2 linked regions of the Elephas maximus indicus genome follow. The protein of the gene in region 1 purifies or fractionates together with the protein of each later gene. This does not show direct contact. Links are inferred from orthologs where the notes say so. Each region holds a gene or a part of one and is shown on either strand. Other genes may lie near its edges.

The links. Proteins that work in one complex are often made in the same cells at the same time.
Region 2: the proteins of DHX15 (region 1) and GCFC2 purify together in Homo sapiens (co-immunoprecipitation; 3 studies listed by BioGRID and IntAct, with this or other methods). This does not show direct contact. The link is inferred for Elephas maximus indicus from reciprocal best matches to the Homo sapiens genes DHX15 and GCFC2.

Annotation. Positions count from the first base shown.
Region 1 is NC_064823.1:138,875,988-138,886,962, forward strand, and holds the start of DHX15 (ATP-dependent RNA helicase DHX15), read left to right. Parts: upstream 1-6,090; 5' UTR 6,091-6,258; coding exon 6,259-6,329; intron 6,330-10,975.
Region 2 is NC_064835.1:60,012,103-60,022,397, forward strand, and holds the start of GCFC2 (intron Large complex component GCFC2), read left to right. Parts: upstream 1-6,353; 5' UTR 6,354-6,450; coding exon 6,451-6,709; intron 6,710-10,295.

The sequences.
Region 1 (10,975 bases):
ACTATTTATATCTATTAAATAGTAGAGTGAAAACAGGGTGATTAACAGCAGTACTGAAAATTCTTTCTCAACTGTGAGCATGTTGTAGCTAAGGAGATTTCAAAAAGGGAGATTGGCGAGTTGATCCTGGCAAATTCTCATAAGAAATCATATCATTTTGTCATGTAAGTCTTTTTGACAGTTTCCTCTTGCTCTAAAGTCTTATACTCTTAGCAGGAACTCTTATGCTCTGCGTGTCATGCCCCTTCTTGCAACTGCAGGATTGCGCCCTCCTTATATCATTGCACTCACTTTATTCTTCTTCCTGCCTATGGACTGCACCTGGTTTTTTTACTTTTCAGGGCCTTTGCACAGGCTTTTTCCTCTGCTTGGCATTCTTTCCTCCCTCTTTGCCTGGTCAGTTGCTCTACAGTTTAAGGTCTTTATATAATTGTCCCTTTCTTAGAGAGGCCTTCTCTAACTCTCTTAATTTAGGTCAATGCCACTTGTTACATATACTCTCATGGCATCTGTCCCTGTAGTTTAGTTGACCTTCTTAACATTTATCACGGCTGTGATGACAGTCATCTGTGAGTGTAGCTGTTATCTCTTCCTCTCTGATAAGTTCCATGAAGTCAGGGACTATGGCTATTTTTCTTTGCTTTTTTTCCCAGCACTTAACTCAATTCCTGACAGAAGAGTTTAATAAATATTTGTTGAGTGAATAAATAAATGAATAAATTAATGGGTGGGTAGTAGTGAAACAGTGTAGTTAACACATAGCTCTGGAATCAGAGGGTTCCAACCTTCCAAATCATGGCTTCACTGATAGCTTTATAAACTTGTCCTCTAACGGAAAAATGTGGAAGCTGAAGTTTATTAGTCCACTGTCAGATTGGGGGAATTTATCCTTAGTAAACCTTAGAAGAATAACATGGAATGAGAATACCCATGTATCAGCAGCAAAGCTTAGTGGTTACGCACACAGACTGTCTTGGATTGTCTTAGTCATCTAGTGCTGCTATAACAGAAATGCCACAAGTGGATGGCTTTAACAAACAGAAATTTATTCTCTCACAGTTTAGGAGGCTAAAAGTCTGAATTCAGGGTTCCAGCTCTAGGAAGTTTTCTCTCCTTTAGCTCTGGGGGAAGGTCCTTGTCTCCTTTCAACATCTGTGGGCCCAGTATTCCTTGGATAGCTACATGTGTCTTGGCTTCAATCTTCCCCTGAGCCTAGGAGGCTCTCAGTGCAGGGACCCCAGGTCCAAAGGATGCACTCAGCTCCCAGCTCTTCTTTCTTGGTGGTAATACAGGTCTTTCTTTTTCTGCTTGCTTTGCTCTCCTTTTATCTCTTCTAAGATAAAAGGGGAAACCCTGGTGGAGTAGTGGTTAAGAACTACAGCTGCTAACCAAAAGGTCGGCAGTTCGAATCCACCAGGTGCTCCTTGGAAACTCTATGGGGCAGTTCTAGTCTGTCCTATAGGGTTGCTATGAGTCTGAATCGACTCGATGGCAATGGGTTTTCTGATTTTTTTAAGATAAAAGGTGATACAGGCCACACTCCAGGAAAACTCCCATTACATTGGATCAGGGCTGTGATCTGAGTGAGGGTGTTGCATCCCACCCTAATTCTCTTTAACATAACCTAATCTTGCCTAATTAACCACAGGCAGAGATTAGGATTTACAATGCATAGGAAAATTACATCAGATCACAAAACGGAGGAGAACCACACAATACTGGGAATCATGGCTTAGCCATGCTGACACATATTTTGGGGGGACACAATTCAATCCATGATATTTTACTTTTTGGCCCCCAAAATTCATGTCCTTGCCACATGTAAAATACATTCAGCTCCCATCATATCATAGCAAAAGTCTTAAATCAACTCCAAATCCAAAATCTCATCTTCTACAAAATTCCTCTTCATCTGTGAAACCTAGAATACAAGGTATCTGCTTCCAGAGTACTACGGTGGAACAGCCAAAAGCTAGACATTTCCATTACAAATGGAAGAAACTTGTCTTAGTCATCTAGTGCTGCCATAACGGAAATATCACAAGTGGATGGCTTTAACAAAGAGAAATTTATTTTCTCATAGTCTAGTAGGTTACAAGTCCAAATTCAGGGTATTGGCTCCAGGGGAAGGCTTTCTCTCTCTTTTGGCTATGGACGAAGGTCCTTGTCCTCAATCTTCCCATAGTCAAGGAGCTTCTCAGGCGCACGGACCCCTGGCCCAAAGGATGCACTCTGCTCCTGGTGCTGCTTTCTTGGTGGTATGAGGTCCTCAACTCTCTGCTTGCTTCCGTTTCCTTTGATCTCTTGGGAGATAAAAGGTGGTACAGGTCACATCCCAGGGAAACTTCCTTTACCTTGGATCAGGGAGGTAACCCGAGTTAAGGGTGGTGTTACAATCCCACTCTAATTCTCTCAACATAAAATTACAATCACAAAATGGAGGACAACCACACAATACACAATACTGGGAATCATGGCCTAACCAAGTTGACACATATTTTGGGGGGGATACAAAACTGAAGGGAAAGAAGGGATAACAAAACCTAGCAAGTCAAAAATCCAGCAGAACAATTTACACTAGCTCTCAAGGCTTGAAAATAATTCTCTTTTCTCTGAGACCATCTAGGCAATGGCCCTGCCCTCCAGACTCTGAGTGTTGGCCACACTCTCCGGATTCTGAGCGGAGGCCCCTCGGCCCTGGGCTTCAGCTCAGTCTTCCAGGCCCACTGGAACAGCAACTATGCCCCCTTGCATTTGTTGTTGCTGCTGTTGTTAAGTGCCGTCGAGTCAGCTCCAACTCATAGCGACCCTATGTACAGCAGCACAAAACTGTCTGGTCCTGCGCCATTGCATTTGGGCAGCCTTGTTTTTCTAGCCCAACTGAGCGGCGACCCTACCTACTCTGCCCCAGCAGACCCTGTCCCTCTGAACCTCAGGCATGGCAGCCCTGCCCCCTCAGCTTTGGACAGTGGATCTGGCCCCATCCCACTGGCGCTCGTGAGAGGCAGCCCAACACTCCGGAATCAAGTTGATGAAGATCTGATTTTTTGAAACCTAGGAGGCTATGGCCCTATCATTTGAAACCCTGAAGGTTATGGCTCCACCCTTTGAGACAACTCTCCTCATATCCTTCTGAATCCTCGCCAGAATTGCCTTTGATGTCCATAATTCCACGAAAAGTCTCTTCAAGGCAATCTAGGCATTTACTACTAGACACTTTAAAACTCTTCCAGCATCTACCCATTACTCAGTTCAAAACCGCTTCCACATTTTAGGTATCTGTTAGAGCAGTATCCCAGTTTTCTGTTACCACATTCGTAGTTATCATCGAGTGCTGCTATAACAGAAATACCACAAGAGGATGCCTTTAACAAAGAGAAATTTATTAACTCACAGTCTAGAAGTCTGAATTCAGGGTGCCAGCTCCAGGGCAAGTCTTTCTCTGTCTGTTTTGGGGGAAAGTAATTGTCATCAATCTTCACCTGGCCTAGGAGCTTCTTAGCACAGGAACCTGGGTCCAAAGCATGCACTCCACTCCCAGAGCTTCTTTCTTGGTGGCATGAGGTCCTCATCTCTCTGTTCACTTCTCTCCCGTTTTATCTCTTGCAATATAAAAACTGACGCAAGCCACATCCCAGGGAAATTCCCCTTACATTGGATCAGGGCTGTGACCTGAGTGTGGGTGTTACATCCCACCCTAATCCTCTTTAACATAACCTAATCTTGCCTCATTAACCACCGGCAGAGAGTAGGATCTACAACACATAGGAAAATTGCATCAGATCCTAAAATGGAGGACAACCACACAATACTGGGAATCACGGCCTAGCCAAGCTGACACTCATTTTCAGGGGACACAATTCAATCCATGACAATGTTGTCGTTATTGTTAGTTGCTGTCAAGTTGATTCTCATGCATGGCAACCTTGTGTGTGCAGCATAGAACCGCTCCACAGGGTTTTTAAGGCTGTGACTTTTTGCTAGGCCTGTCTTTCGAGGCACCTCCGGGTGGGTTTGAACTGCAAACCTTTAGGCTAGTAGTCAAGTATTTAACCATTTTTGCCATCCAGGGACTCCTAAATGCTTTATACACATTAACTATTATCATTACCATTCATTACTTTAGGTTGGGAGATAACCCTGGCTTGCAATCTGGAGCTGGATAGCTGCATAAAACATTCCCTCCAGGTGAGTAAATCCATGCCATAGGTCAGATACTAGATCAGAGGGTTGTCTAGTAGACAAAGAGTAAGAGTAAAGGTAATAAATATTCTCTGGCAACAAGCTGTGGGTCCTGGTGGGTGGCCCTTCTTTACTCTAGAGTCAGTTTTGTCTGAAAATCTAGGGTAGAGCATCTAGACTCAGAGCTCTGCTCCTCTTCCCAGAAAGTACAAACATCCTGGCAGATTCTGGCCCTTAGTTGTCTTTATTCCGGGTTCCAGAAAGGCCACTATCTTTGGTAAATATGACCTTTCTTCAGTAATTCATGTTACAACACAATTGATTAGGTTACAGGTTTCTTTAGATACATCCTAGGCCCAAGGAAAAAGGTCTCATCACCTTGGTTTCAGTTCTTCATTTACGAAGGCTCTTTGCACACTTCTGAGTGGCTGACTCCTCTTAGGCCGGAGCACTTCTGAAGGCAGAATTCCAACCTTTTCCGTTTTTTTTTTAGAGCATGTTATTGTAGCTCTCCAACTGGGAACTTGGAGACCTGAGGATGAAATAGTTAAAGTGAACTCTGAATTTTAATTCTGTCTTTGATACTAACTGGCTGTGTGAATTTGGTCATGACCTAGTGGCTCAGGTGGTTAAGATATTGGCTGTGAACCGATAAGGTCAATGTTCCAAATTCACCAGCCGCTCCTTGGGAACCCTATGGGAATCAACCCGACGGCAATGGGGTTTTAAAATTAAGTGGAAAGAGAAAATCAGCTGGAAATTCTTTCCCAGGTTTACAATTCAGTGATCATACATTGTGATCTCTGACAAAAGCCAATCCACTGTTAATGTACATTTAGGGTAGAAACTTGCACTGAGTATTTTATAAGTGAAAAGAAGATATCCAGTTCTCTTGGTGCTGACTTTGGAATGTGTGTTTGGTAGAAAAAAATAAAAACCCTATTTTTCAGTGTTCAATATTTAAGTTGTATTTAATCTTCTCACTTGCAGTGCTAAGGATTTGATAGAACCAGAGCTTGGCCTTCCAAGACAGCTAGAGTCAATTGCATGAACTACAGGAGTCACCCAGCTGGGTTTGGTCCATGGCTCTTTTTCTTGTGCATTTCTTTCTTGAATGGACACAACCCAGGAAGAAGGGGAGAGGTCCACAAAAGGCACCAGAGGCATCTTGCTCCACTAGTTTGCTGTTGCTTTGGGTACAGCACTATTGACTCTGCGATTTGGGGCACATTTCATAACCGCTCTCAGCTTTAGCTTCCACGCCTATAAAATAACATCTACCGTGCAGGGTTACCGTAAGAGTGAGGTAAAGAGGTAGGATTAACGCTGTCACAAGTGCAAAACAGGCATTAAAAAAAAAAAAAAAAAGCTAATTATCCCCTTACTGCCAATTTTCTCTACTCCAACAAAACTTTTATAGCCCAAATGCATGTTGTCCGTGTTGGGTAGAGAAAGCGCAAAATGGATCATGGCAAGTCATGACATCTTCTCATCTCAGTTTTCTCTCTGCAATTGAGTGTTTAGCACAGTAGCTACAAGTTCTAGATTTGGAGTTTTAGATCAGGTTCCAGTCCTGGCTTGGCTGGTCTCAGATTGCCCTAAAGCCAAGACAATACAGATAGGTAGGATTTCCTAACTAGGACTAGACTTCCTCCCTTTCAATTTCCTAAATCAGAGCGGGACGGTGAGACAGAAGCGGAGCCTCAAGCGCCTCCGTCTCACGGCTCTTTACACCCTCTCAGACTCGGAAAGCGCCGGGAATAGGGAGGCGTCAGGCGGGGCGCGGGGTGGGCGGGCCAGAGCGTTGGTGGGCGGGGCCAGAGTTGCCGCCTCCGAGAGTCGTGCGCGTGCACTACGCACGCAAGGACGCACAGTACGTACGCTGCGGAAGCGCGCGCGCAGGCCCAGCCCTCGTCGCCGCCGCCATTTTAGCTCCTGGTTCCGGCCGCACGGTGTAGGCTGTTGTAGCGGGAGGGGTGGGGGTTCTCCAAAGTAGCTGCCCTCGACTGCGGCGCTACAGCCACTGGCTTCTCTTTTTTCTCCTTCTTGGTAACCACCCGCTCGAAGAGTACGAAGATGTCCAAGCGGCACCGGTTGGACCTGGGGGAGGATTACCCCTCCGGCAAGAAGCGTGCGGGGACCGATGGGTAAGCCAGGCCGGGGGCGCGAGGCAGCGGCTCGGGCTTTGTTGGAGCCGCGGCGGGCCGGCGGGGAGCAGGCCAGGGCCGGCCTGACCGAGAGGGCTCCGGAGCTCGAGTCTTTGTTTCCCTCTGGGCGGAGGAAAGCGGCGCCACTCTCCGCGGTCGGCCCAGCAAGGACGCGGGGAATGTGTGTGTGTGGCTGGGCCGCCGCCCGCCACCGTCGGGTAGGTGGAGGGGCCTGTTGTGGCCACGAGGACGTATCTGACGGGCCGATTAGAGCTCGACTCGAGGGGGGCTGGCGGGAGGGACCCGCGGACCTCGTGGTTCGGGTTCCCGAGTAAGGCCTGGAGCCGGGGCGGGGGGGTAAGGGGGGAGGGCGCGGCGAGAGTATTCGCTTCCAAGGGCACCAGGCACTTCTCAGGCCGAGGGACCGGGGAGTGGACCTTGGGGAGTGGCTGGATCTCAGGAAGGGAGAGTCAGAGAGTGTAAAGAAGCGCCTGGGTTCTTGTGTAGGCTGGGATGGGGGTGGCGGGAGTTGAGTGTGAGACGTGCAAACGAGGAGTTCTCGGGGGAAGGGAGAGTAGAGGGCCTGTCGAAAGGGGAACGTGGAGTACACCTGGCGGGCTGGAAGGCTGGTGGGATGGAGAAGGCTACGTTTATAGTTTGGCGGGAGGGAGCGTGCCTCGGTCCATTCAAACACTTCAAAGACACTAGACAAACTTCCGCTCTCTGCCTACGCTCCCGCCATCTCCTTTATTTCCTGCTTTAGTTAAAGCATTGGCATCGGAAATCAGTGGGGTAGGGATAGAAGGCGTTCTTTCCCCCCCCCCATAAGTTATTTTCTATTGTTTTTTCTGCTGTTCTTTATAAGTAGCTTTTGAAAAAACGCTTTTCAAAAAATGGTTTTAATTACGGCAAAATATTGCCCCGTGGGGAGGTTGTTTGGGACTTGAAATACAGACTTACTGTTTCAGATAACTTTCCTTTCCCTTAGTCCTTTTTTAAAGGTGCATTAGTAATTGCATTAAAGTCATTTCTTGTTCAATTTTTTTTTTTATCCCGAAAGTACAGAGATCTCTTTGGATAATTCAGGCAAAAACACAATGTCCTGAATGTTCACATTCCTTGGATGATTTTATCTTATCGTGTGTGTATGTGTGTGTGTACAGAATAACTGTGTTAAACCATCTGTGTAGCTTTGGGGAATTGTTGACCAGAAGCCCATGATCTGGATTGATTTGTAGGTCTCTGCTGTGTCCAGTAAATGCCAGGATAGGGTGTACTTTTTAATGCAGTTCCGTATATTGAATATATAAAGCAGAAGTATGTCACATTTTAATGTTGAAAAGTATTTAGTTTACAGTATTAGACAGTTTTCTCCCTAGGCTGCCCCTCCCCCTCCAAAAAAAAAAAAAACACCCAGCAAAACTTGATGGCGTTGAAGCAACATGTCACAGACCCTCAGAGCTGAAGTGACTTCAGAGCCTCACTCAAGGAGTGGGAAAAGGAGACCCAGAGTTGTTAAGGTGGTTTCTGCAGGTTTACGCAGTTGAATGCCGGATGTAGAACCCTGAGCTTCTGATTTTTCACTCTGAGCTTTTTCCGTTACAACATACAGCCTATGGCTGTAGTTTAAAGTCACTGCAGCCGATTTTAATGACTTGTAAAGTTGGGAACACTTGGTTCTTGATGCCTGTGAAGCAAAAATAAATTGCTTGTTATCTGGCTGAGATGGAACAAACATGTTTCACAAGACTTTAGTTTGGCACAAAATATTTATATCCCTGTGTATGTACACCACTAAAAATGCTTTCTTTGGGGCTAGAGGTCTCATCTGTATATGTGGTTGCTCCCTTTCCCCTGCAAAATGAATGTCTGTCCCTTTTTGTTTCTAGGTGGTGCCCTTATGATTCCCTTCAATAGTGCTTGACTTCTGTCTGTAGGTGAAAAAGAGTTCATATTTGGAATAATGCCCAAGTCCTGAAATTCTGGAGGGCTGTTTTTATACGTTCATATCTTGAATAATTCATTTTTCATAGAACTAGTATTCTTTAGCAATGAGCTTACAGCGTTCATCAGTGCTGGAGTGTGTTTCATACTTGGCAACTGAAGTCACTTTTGGTGACTGCCTTTTCAAATGCAATCCTGCAGATTTAAAAAAAAACCGGGATGGGTTTTATCAGAACATAGGCTTGTCAGTCTGTGAGTGGCACTGCATATAACTGTCCCATTTTCCCATTCTTGCAGTGCTGCAAATGGAGAGTGATTCAGTGGGAGATTTCACTCATTCATGCTCCCAAACTATTTGTGACTTTGTTTTCTTCTGGCGTGTTTTAACTTCAGGGCCAGATAGAGAAGTTGGAGGTTTATGTTATATACCCTAGCCTTATTCCTTTTTCCCTCATCCCACAAAATCTTCTAAAATTTATCCCCCCAAAAACTATTGTTGGAGTGGAAAAACTCTTTGAAAGTAGGGGTATTTTTCTCTTTAATTTTAGTTACTTCCTGGTAAAAGCTTTTCCTGTTCATTGTGTAAAAGTGAAACGCACTAATATATATAGAGAGTACATATTGTGCACCCGGCATTGTTCTAGGTGCTATATGTATAAACATTTTCACTACAGACTTACGGTGTAGGTGAAGTAACTTGCCCTAGGGAATGTAAGAAGTCCATATACAGAGGTATAAAGAAAACAGCAAAAAATTCCTGAAAATATCCCCAGCTTTAATTCTTTGAGGAACATTTTTGATCTCTGCATGTTTACTCACAAATATGAACTCTAGCTGTTACGAGTGAGATCTCTCAATGGGTGTTGTTTTGTGGTTTGATTTTTTTTTTAGAAACATGTCATGAACTGCTGTAAATATACCTTATTCTTTTCATTGGCTGCATAGTATTCCAGTTGTAAAGGTGTGTTGTAACTTATTTAGCCGATTTCCTGCTCATAGATGTTTAGTTTCTCAGTCTTCATTATTGTAAATAAAAAATTGTGATAAACATTCTTATATGTATATATTTGTACACTTATCTTTAGAACTAGTTCTGAAACAGATTGTCAGATACAAAGCAATACTTATTTAAAATCTACTGATTTTTATGACCAGTTTACATCTTCTTCAGCAGTACTATAGTTATTTTTCTTTAACGTGGTATTCTTAACATGGCATTGTAAATTTGTAAGTTAAAAAAAATCTTTAGTGGCAACTAATATTTATTGGGAAACCCTGGTGGCTTAGTGGTTAAGTGCTAAGGCTGCTAACCCAAAGGTTGGCAGTTTGAATCCGCCAGGCGTTCCTTGGAAACTCTGTGGGGCAGTTCCGCTCTGTCCTGTAGGGTCGCTATGAGCCGGAATCTGCTTGACGGTAATGGGTAATATTTATTGGGCATTTGCTGTGTGCCAGGCACCACTTTAAGCCCATTGCATATATTAACTCATTTAATCCTTGCCATACCCCACAAGATAGCTATTGTTAATAAAACCACATTTTATACCTGAAGAAACTGAGGCAGTGAGAAATTAACTTCTGTGTTCAATACAGCCAGTTTAAAAAGTACACAGCTAGGATTGAGGGAAACAGTAGAGAACCAGGTGCTTAATGAATGTCATATTTTGTCTCTGTCTCTGACGGTATTGTGGTCAGTGACTGCAAACCACTGTCTTGAGATCTTCCTTTAAAAAAAAAAAATTATACCTCAATTAGTAAATATTTTAAGAACAAAGCTCCTTTATGGTAAAGTATTAAAAAAAGAAATCATACATACTTATAATAGTGGATACATATTTATAGCAGAGGGTTTGAACCCTCATTTACCTGAATTTTAATTTTTATCCTCCCCTATTGAAGGTAGACAGTTTTAACAGTGAACCATAGGCAGCATTCGAGGTGATTGAAATTTGTTTTCTTCATTCTCCCTGTTACCTAAGAGACTTCTGTTAATGCTTTTCACTGTTTACTGACCCACGTTGTAAATTGCAGTTTATGCCTTGCCCACGTATGGTTAGAGAATAACTGTGGTCCCCGTGCACCTTTTACTGTTATACCACTGTTGTTATTAGGGGCCATGGAGTCAATTCCGACTCATAGTGACCCTGTGTGCAAAAGAATGAACCAGTCCTGCCCCATCCTCAAAATCGTTGCTCTGTTTGAGCTCCTCATTGCAGCCACTGTATCAGTCTATCTTGTTGAGGGCCTACCTCTTCCACTGATTCTCTACTTTACCAAGCATGATGTCCTTTTCCAGGGACTGGTCCTTACTGATAACATGTTCAAAGTATGAGACTTAGTCTTGCCATCCTTGCTTCTAAGGAGCATTCTGGCTATACTTCTTGTAGGACAGATTTGTTTGTTCTTCTGGCAGTCCATGGTATATTCAGTATTTGCCAACACCAAAATTCAAATGCATCAATTCTTCTTCTGTCATCTTATTCATTGTCCACTGCTACCCCCATTTCTTGGTAAGCAGCTAATCTTTGGGTCTTCACAACATATTCTGTGCTGTAGCTAATTTCAGTAATGAAGTTTCTAATGAAGTGGGTCCTTGAAAAAAATCTTTGTTAATATAGATATTACTGTGAGAAAGCAAGGCAGCACATGATTTACTTTGTCCACCCCCTCCCCCAGTCCTACCCCCGAATTTTGTAAACTCTTGA
Region 2 (10,295 bases), on another chromosome or scaffold:
TCAACCACCGATCTTTATTTGTAGTTGTGTGCAAACCATTGTGCTACCCAGGGACCTTAGTATCGAGAAGTCTTTTAATAAAAGGTATCAAAATACCATAATAGGCAAGGCTAGTGGTAGAGCAAAAGAAAGAAAAAGGGCAATGAAGATTCAGAAAATTAATCTTGTTCTATAATCCTCGGCAGAAGCTACTTTTTAGGTAGTCAGCAACTTATTCTGTCATCTTGGACAGAAGCTATCCACTTCTGTAGTCAGAGCCTTCTGGAATATTTCTTAGAATTCTAAGTTTAAAGTCTCTGAATAGAACAGACATCCAGTAGTCAGAAGAAAGTGCTATATGTCTTTTAAGTTGGGATCAACATCTTAGATTTTTACTGGCATGTCAGTTGTTAACAGTACCAGATAAGGCCTACATCATCAAGGCTCAAGCACAGTTCTTCTCTATGCCTTTAGAAGACCCAATATAAAGTTTTCAGATCATGTAAAGTCTACTTATGTACATCTTCTAGAAATACAGGTTGTTGGTTATAGTTATGGGGTGAATTGTGTCCCCTCAAAAAGATATGTTGAAGTTCTAACCCTGTACTAGTGAATGTGACCTTGTGTGGACAGAGGAACTTTGAAGATGTTACCGGTTGGGTTACCATGAGGTCATGCTGCCATATCAAAATACCACAAAGTGGATGACTTTAAAGAACAGAAATTTATTTTCCTACAGTTCTGGAGGCTAGAAGTCTGAATTCGGGGCAGCGCTATGCTCTGTGTCTCTCTCGCTCACTCTCTGTTTACTCCAGGGGAAGATCCTTCCTTGTCTCTTTCAGTTTCTGGTAGCCCTGAGCGTTTCTTAGCATTCCTTGGATTGTAGATGGATCCTCAGGCAGTGTCTTCCCCCAGAGGGTGACTCTATTTCTGTATCTGTTCTGCCTTTTTATAAGACACCACTCAGAAGTGGATCCTCAGAAGGGATTAGGATTCGAATCCCCTCTACTTTGGTATGACCACATTTAACACAACTGATAACAAAAGAAAACCCCTATTTAAAAATTCCAGGTCACAGTCACAGGTACAGGGGTTAGAACTTCAACAGTCTTTATGGGGAATACAATTTAATCCATAACAATAGAGTGGGTCCTATTCCTATATGACACGCATCCTTATAAAAGGATGAAGATAAACAGAAACAGGTAGACAGGAAGGATGCCATGTGATGCTGCAGCTGCAAGCCCAGGAACACCTGTAGCCACCAAGAGCTAGGAGAGAGGCCTGGAACAGAGATTCCCCCTCAAAGCATCAGAAGGAACAACACGGCTAACACCCTAAACTCAGATCCCCAGTCTCCAGAGCTGTGACACAATAACTTTCTGTTGTTACAATTGCCCAGTTTGTAGTATTTTGTTACAGCAGCCCCGGGACACTAATAGAGTCATTGGTGACATCTTATGAGTATCTTGTAATGTTCAATCCTATCAGCTTGTAATAGGATAAAATCTAGGACTGCAACTAACACCCCAGTGCATGAGGCAGCCTGTTTTTGACTAAGCAGGACGTAACTTAGAGAGGATTGACATTAGCGCCTTCCAGGCAAGTGGCGATAATTACAAATCTCAGATTTCTGAGGCCCACATTATGGTAATTTGAGGTTTCTGAATGTTTTTTAGAACTCCCAGAGTTTTCTTTATTTCTCCCAAAGTTATGAATAATGACAGTTGAGATTCTGAGTCAAAGGCAAAGCTAGAAAAACGTTGTTGTTAGGTGCCACCAAGTCACCTCCAACTTATAGTGACCTTATGTGTAACAGAACAAAATGTTGCCCAGTCCTGTGCCATCTGAGGAAGGGTATGCATCAGGGTTGTATCTTTCACCATATTTATTCAATCTGTATGCTGACCAAATAATCTGAGAAATTGGGCTATATGAAGAAGAACACAGCACCAGGATTGCAGGAAGACTCATTAACAACCTGCAATATGCAAATGACACAACTTTGCTTGTTGAAGGTGAGGAAGACTTGAAGCACTTACTGGCAAATATTAAAGACAACAGCCTTCACTATGGATTATACCTCAACATAAAGAAAACAAAAATCCTCACAACTGGACCAATAAGCAACATCATGATAAACGGAGAAAAGATTGAATTTTTCAAAAAGAGATACTGAAAACTGAAAGCACAATTGTTGTTGTGTGCTGTGGGTCCATAATTTTATGAATGTGCTTCCACAATGATTTTTTTTTTTTTTGGCCTTAAAAGAGAGAGTTATTTTACTTACAAACATAATTTCCCAAAATGTTTTCCTCTGGGAAAGTTTTAAATAGGTTGGCATAAAAACGAAAATGTATTTGTTGTTTTTAACAAGAGAATTTTTTTAAAGATAGCTCTATCAAAGGAAGGGGGCAGTTTCTGAAGGATTGACACAGTCCGTATGTAAGTAGCCCATTTCTCACTAGGGGGAGCTCAGAACCCACCAATAAGTGGCAAACCCAACCAAACCCACTGCCCTCGAGTCCGTTCCAACTCGTAGCGACCCTACAGGACAGAGTAGACCTGCCCCGTAGAGTTTCCAAGGAGCGCGTGGTGGATTCAAACTGCTGACCTCTTGGGTAGCAGCCGTAGCACTTAACCACTATGGCAATAAGTGGCAAGACAAGCTAAATAAAATGCCATTTCACCTATTTAGGGTAAAAACAGTATATTTGGGTATAGACGGCCAGATTTTCAGAAGTTGGAAATTTTTTATATGTCAAATTTCAATTATCACCCTCTGTAATTCCAAATTATATGCAAAGGAATAAGAAAATATTGTAAGCAAATAATAGATATGGCATTATCCTCAAGTTCTTGGGGGAAAATTCCTAGTGTTCATAACAAAGAACAAACAATATAAGGCAGTTATAATTGTGGGTACCTGGAAAGACTGTTAGGAGAAACACAATTCTTGCTCTCTGGCCCCTTTTCCTGTCTCCATGTATAACCAGTGGAGTCTCTTCCCCTTTCAAGATTCACCATCTTGGGTACATTTGGGGAAGGGGCGATCTCATAGCCACCTCTAGGCTAGTGTGTTCAGCAGCCTGTCATCCATTGTGTTTCCTCTGACGCTCTCAGCTCTGAAACTGTGGTGCTGCCATCCCATCCCCACCGTGAAGCTATCATCACTGTCCTCACTTCAGCTGCTCAGTCCTTCTTTCCCAGCAGCAGTGTTAACCCAAGAGTGTGCGGAGTAGAGCAAAGTCTTACTAAAGGATTAGGGGAAATAGCACCATACCTTAAAAGTCTCTTGTCCCCCTAACCCTTGTTACTGGGAACGTCTCACTGGCCATGGTTTTCTTCAGGTTCCAGAACTATCACCACCCCCTCCATCACCCCCCCCACCCATTGTGAAGCCTTTCACTACCTTTGAAATTCTTCACAGCTCTCTTCACCACAGACTAGAGTTACAATATGTCCCACGCAAATAAGTCCCAAATATTATATGGGTCGTATTTCTACTAAAAAGTTATTTCTCATTCATTTGAAATTTAAATTTAGCTGGGCGTCTTACAGTTTTTTCTAAATCTGTTAATGCTACCCTGGAGTCTTCACTCTGCTTTCCTTGGGACTGAAGGGGGAATTCCAAAATCTACCCCACTCCCCTTATTAAGCAAGTTATCTCTATTTCATCCTCTCCCATTCAAGCCATACCCAGGAAAACTCAATTTTCTCACTAATCTATCTCCCTTGGAACAAAGATTTAGTTTATGTTTTAAATAGCAGTTTTTATTTCTATCTCAGTAGCATATTACCTGGAGCCTTGGTGGTGCAGTGTTTAAAAGCTCAGCTGCTAACTGAAAGGACAGCAGTTCCAATCCACCAGCTGCTCGATGGAAACTCCACGGCGCAGTTCTACCATGTTGTCTTGGGTCACTATGAGTTGGAATTCACTTGACAGCAATGGCTTTGGGTTTTGTTTTGTTTTAAGTATATTACCTGTCTATTAACATATTTGCACCCAGTAAGTTGCAGTGCTTCGTTTTCAGGTTTCATTATTGCTGTTGAACATAGATGTTTCAGAATTGCCCCATCCACAAATTTAGTTCATTGGGTTCATGTTAATTCAGTACATACCACACACTGGACACTGTACTAGTACAAGGATACCAAGAGAGGCCTTGTCTTGATAGACGGTGTAGCTTAAAATGAGGAAGGAGCAGCTATCCCACGGTCTACTAGTTGCTTTAAACCCAGCTAAAAAGGTTGAACTCCGCCTGCCATTTTCACGTTCAAGGTAGACATTGTCTGTGAGTTGGAGATTTTCAAGGGGAGAGAACAGCTTTCTGGAACAGCAGCTGTACACTCAGCTTATCCTTAAATAAACTGCTCCCTTTGCAAGCAACGCTGAGAGTGAATTCTGTCCTGCTGCCCACCTTTCAAACTGAGACAAACACCTGCCACGATTTTGAAGACTGGTGGGGAACGCTGTTAAGAAGGTGTAGGCAGATTTTCCTTTACGGGGAATAACTTCTACAGTTAGATAAACTTAATCCCTTTTAATAGGTTCTTATTAGCCTGCCTTTTGAAGATAATTCAGTTTTCAGATTAGGAGATACACAATGGCATTTGGATGCTGTAACAATCTGATATGCAGTTGTTCATCATGAAGAAGTTACCAGGAACATTAAAAAAAAAATTCTTAAGGGTGATTGTCCTAGTCATCTACTGCTGCGATAACAGAAATACCACAGGTGGATGGGTTTAACAAAGAGAAATTCATTCTCTCACAGTCTAGTAGATTACAAGTCCAAATTCAGGGCACCGGCTCCGAGGGAAGGCTTTCTCTCTCTGCCAGCTCTGGAGAAAGGTCCTTGTCATCAGTCTTCCCTTGGTCTGGGATTATCTCGGCACAGGAACCTCAGGTCCAAGGAATGCGCTCTGCTCCCGGCACTGCTTTCTTGGTGGTATGAGGTCCCCAGGTATCTCTGCTTGCTTCTCTCCTTTATATCTCGAAAGAGATTGGCTTAAGACACTACCTAATCTTGTAGACCTCATCAATATAACTGCTGCTAATCCATCTTATTACATCATAGCGATAGGATTTACAACATATAGAAAAATCACATAAAATGGTGGGCAACCACATAAAATGGTAGACAATCACACAATACTGAGAATCATGGCCCAGATAAGTTGACAGATATTTTTAGGGGACACAATTCAATCCATGACATGGATGAATTTATCTTGTATCTACTCTAGGGCCTTGCTACTTAGAGTGTGGTCCTCGGACCAGCATCCTTAGCTTCACCTGGGAGCTTGCTAGAAATGAAGACTCTTAGGACCCACCACAGACCTGCTCAGTCAGTATCTGCCATTTCCGCATAGTCTGCAGGTGATTTGAAGAACATCAGACTTGAGTAGCCCTCTACGGTTTAGCATGGTGCCTGGGCTACTGGGTGGAAAAAAAACTGTATAATGTAGGGCTGTTTCTTGACGTAGTACCTAAAAGAGCACAGAATTTCCCTCTAATCACAATTATGATCATTTTCCTCACCATTTTAAAATTACAGTCTACTGTTTGGTTTTGTATCAGCAGCTTTATAGTGTGACTTAGACGACATTCATCACAGAACTGGAGAATTCTGAATGGATGGATGGTAGATTGAAAAGCACTGGGCCTAACGGAGCAGCCTAGCCTCTCCCTTACCCATCAGCTGGCTTCTGGAGTTCATTCTAGCCCTAAGGAGCACTTAGTCGGTGGTGGGAAGCTGCTCTTCCAGATATCACAGGTGTCTCTATTTTCTAGTCCTATAAGCCCCGGTAGTACAGTGGTTAAAGCATTCGGCCAAGCCACGGGAGAAAGATGTGGTGGTCCGATTCTGTAAAGATTACAGCCTTGGAAACCTATGGGGCAGTTCTACTTTTTTCCTACAGGGTCGCTGAGTCGGAGAGGACTCAGTGGCAAAGGTTTTTTTTGGTTATGGAATCCTTTTCACATCACATGCCACTATCGTAACAAAAAAAAAACCTTCTAGTGTCCTGAAATTTATTTATCTAGATTTAAAAAGAAAAAGCTCTCTTTGCAATAAGTCATTAATAAATTATGAATAACTGGTCATGCATAGTGCCTGACTCCCAGACAGTTTGCTCACAGAGAGCTTGTGGATGCTTCTCTGTGTGGGACTCAACTCGAGCAGGCTCTGGGAGTCGCTCCGCTATGGTCTAAGAAACCACAACTTGGAAAGAGTACTTTGCATGCCCACGCCTGGGCCCAGGGAACTGGGCTGTCAACTTCATCGAAGGAAGGGAAACACGCATGCGCACTCCTGTTGACCCGGAGGAAGCGGGAGCGGACGCCGCCGCGAGGAATGGGTGCGCGCACGCGGCGGAAGGGCGGGAGCGCGCGCCGATCTTCCAGGACTCGGGTGTGGGAGGCGGGCACACGCGCGGTGGCCGGTGCCCGAGGCCCGGGCTGCTGCCATGGCTCAAAAGCCGAAAAGGACTTTTCGGCAGCGCCGGGCTGATTCCAGCGACAGTGACGGCGGCAGGGAGTCGCCTACAGAGCCCGGGGCGCCGCGGGAGCAGGCGGCCCCGGGTCCTGCGGAGAAAAGGCCGCCTGCAGAGGCGGCGAGACGGCCGTTCAGGGGCCGGAGCCGGGTCTGGGCGAGTTCCCGGCGCGCCGCGAGAGCGGCCCCCTGTGCAGGCAGCGACCCGGGCGACCAAGGCGACTCCGAGAGCGGTGAGGGCGCCCGAGGGGACGTCCAGGCGGGGCGGGAGCAGGTCGGCGGGTGCCCGGAGCCTTCCGGGGCAGTTCTGTCGTCTGCCGCCGGCCACCGGGAGCCCCTAGTCGCAGAGGCAGTGAGCAGGACTCCCTCCCGCCTGAGAGCACTGGCCCGCTGCCTCCATCCCCGTTTTGGGCTCCTTTGGGGAGTAAAAGGAATTCTGTACGGATGGGTGGATGGCTCCTGTGTGTTTGCGTCCCGAGGTGACCTTAACTGATTGTAGCTATAGATCAACACTTGGTGTTTATGAGGAGTTAAATACTGCTGAATATGCTTAAGCAAGCAGGAAAGTTATATGTACCTTTTGGAAACTTGTCAATTCGGAGTTGAATCTTTATGTTTTAGAAAACACTTAGCCAGAATGAATTGTACGTTAGAAGAATCTAAGTGACAGGCTTTGGGACATTCTCTTTTGCCTGTTCTTCTTTTTCATCAGTTATTTGCAAAAACTGGGATGAAAAATAACTGTCGCTGAGTAGCATAACCGATAATAAAGTTAAATATGGTGTAGTGATTTGAGGTACCAGTGAGTTCTTAAATATGGATTTGAGCAGCGTAAAGTTTACGTAAAATGTGCTGTTAATGTGTTTGAATTGGAGTTTAATAAGGAACAAGTTTTTGGTTAATCTTTTCGGTAAAAAATTTTCTCCCTGCTATTACTAGTCCATTAAGGCAATCTTGGTGTTTTCTTAGTCATTGTTAGGACCTTGTATCTGGTGATGGAAGTTTTGATAACTTTTTGTATTTGTTTTTCTACTCTAAAAATGTGTAAGTCATCTAGTTAAACTTTAGCAGGAATAGAGAGCACAAGTTTTCTGTTTGTCTTGCCTTCTCAAGCAGCGGTTTTCTAGCTTTTTGGTTTTACCAAAACCAGTTGCCCTCCAGTCATTACAACTCATAGGTTGGAGTAGAACTGCCCTATAATGTTTCCAAGGGAGTAGTCTTAGTGGAAGCAGGCTGCCACATCATTCTTCCACAGAGCGATTGGTGGGTTTGAACTGACAACCTTTCAGTTAGCTGAGTGCTTCACCACTGTGCTGCCAGGACTCCTTTTTTTTTGTTTGTTTCTAGAACCCCCTTTATACTATTAAAAATGATTGGGGGCCCCTGTGAAGTTTTGGTTCTATGGATTTTATCCATTGATATTTACCATATTTGAAATTAAAACAGAAATGTTTAGTAAACCATTTTTTTAAAAAAAAACTATTGTAAACCCATAACATGGAAGGATAAATAACTTTTTTTTAATATTCTTTTTTTTTGGTGAAAGTATACACAGCAAAATAGGTTCCCATTCAACAGTTTCTACACGTCATGTTCAGTGCGTTGGTTAGTCTTCATTTTGTGTCAATATTCTCGTTATTTCTGTTTTAATTGTTCCACTCCCATTAATGTAGTCTCACTGCCCCCTAAACTTCTCATCTGTGCTTTAGAATAACTTGTCCATTTGGTATCATGTGGATAACTTTTTAAAAAAAAGATTGCAGTTCTCAAGGGTGAAATTCTCTACTTTTTGAGCTAACCTGCTATTTAGTTAAAAAGTGATTTCAAGTGATAGTTTCTGTTCAAGGATTAAAGAGTATCTCAGGGCAATAGTCTTGGGGATACCCTCAGTCTCAGCGGGTTCAGTAAGCCGGGGTTCTTTGAGAATTTGAAGTTCTCTTCCACATTTTTTTTCCTCCCCTTTTTATCAGGATCCATCTATTGTGACCCTGATCAAAATATTTGGTAGTGGTAGCTGGGCACTATCTAGTTCTTGTGGTCTAAAGATAGAGGAGGCCATGGTTCATGGATAATTAGTCCTGTAGCCCAATTCTTTCTCTATTTCTTGGGTTTCTTTCAGTCTCTTTTGCTACAGCAAAGAGAGACCAGTGGTTCTATCTTAGCCAGCTGCTTGCAAGTGTCTAAAGCTTGAGACGCCAAGTAACATTTTTGTGAAAAATAATTATTTTCCAAAAAAATAGAAGAACACCATTGTTTCTCATTTGACAATCTCTTTAATGTCTGGCCTCATGGAAGACAGCTGAATTGTCATAGCCGCTTCTGATTGAGTCTTTTGTGGTATGTGTTGGTTGAAGTATGTGAAGAAGATGAAGCCTTAGATATGTGGTTAGAGGGGTATTTAGTAGCCTTTTTCGATCATTGGCGGTATTCTGCTTTAATACTACAAGAAAACTCAACAAGTAACGTTTTTCAAAGCTTAGGTAAGATACGGAATCTGAAACCATATCAGTACATTTTTTTGTACTCTGTTAAATTAAAATCTGTTGTACCCGTTGTGTATGTAGAATGAATCTTTTACCCGTGCGTGATTGGTAATATTGTGCGTTGACTATTTGGAATGTATTGGCTTGGTGAGTTTGCAGATTTTGCAAATGCTGACACTTTTTATGATACAATACCAAAAAATAACTTGGCTAATGTTACCACTAATATCATCAGTCTCTGAGTATGGGGAAACTGTCAGGTTCACAGTGAAGGATACAGGTTTTTCTGAAATTCAAATTTGCACTTGAAATTTCTAATTCTTGAAGTGATAGGCACGCTTTGTTCATTTTTGAGAAATGATTGTCACAATACCCACTTCTGAATAGCCAGAGTTTGTCAATCCTTCTTTCAAGTAAACTACTTTTCCTCTTCAAAAACAGTAGCTAGTTCAGCATGCAACTCAGTCACACAAATGCTTTTCCTCGAAGCAACCATTGTATTTGAGTGCGCAGCAGAAGTACCTTATGCATACATCCCTTTGGTTGCACAGAATATTAAATAGATGTGTGCCGGAGACGGCCCAAGATGGCAACTTAGTCACACACACCAGTCCGCCCCCTACAGCGAAGAGCCAAGAAACTAAGTGAAACAGATACAGGTAACAGTCTGGGAGCCCAGAACAGCAATTGGAAGGATGAAGAATTAGATCAAACACCAAAGGGAGGGAGAAACTGGATGAAAACTGAGAACGAGGAGATTTATGGACTGTAGGCACCCTGCCAGCCGGCCAGGTGCAGCATGGTCATCTTGAGACAAAGTAAGCACTGTTCCTGGATAAGAAGCACAGGAAGGCAACTTCACAATAGGGAACGGAGATACTGTGTAGACAAACCCAGAGTGAAGCAAGGCGAGCAGAACAGGAACCATATCAAAGGAAGGAAAGTATTGGAAGTCAGGCAGGAGCCCTAGGATCCAAGCAACCATAGAGCAGAAAGAAAGCCAGACAATAGGAGTAAAACTGCTCACTTGCAGTGGAGGCAAGAGATCCCCTCCTGGCCAGATGCTGGGCAGCTCCCCCCTCCATGCATCTGGTCAGGGCTCAGTCCTCATCAAAGGCTGCACTCTGCAGGGAGTACAGCAGCATCCAGGCCAGGGACTGGGGGAACACGCTTCCCCCCTTTTACCGTCTTCTGTTCTCCTGGTAGCCAGCAGTATACCAGTCTCCACCGCCCCCCCTTGCCTGGCAGTCCATGGCACGCAGTCCCACACTGTCCGACCTGCAACCAGAGGCTCGTGCCAGCTTCAGCCATCCCCATGCCGCCACACCCCCGGCAA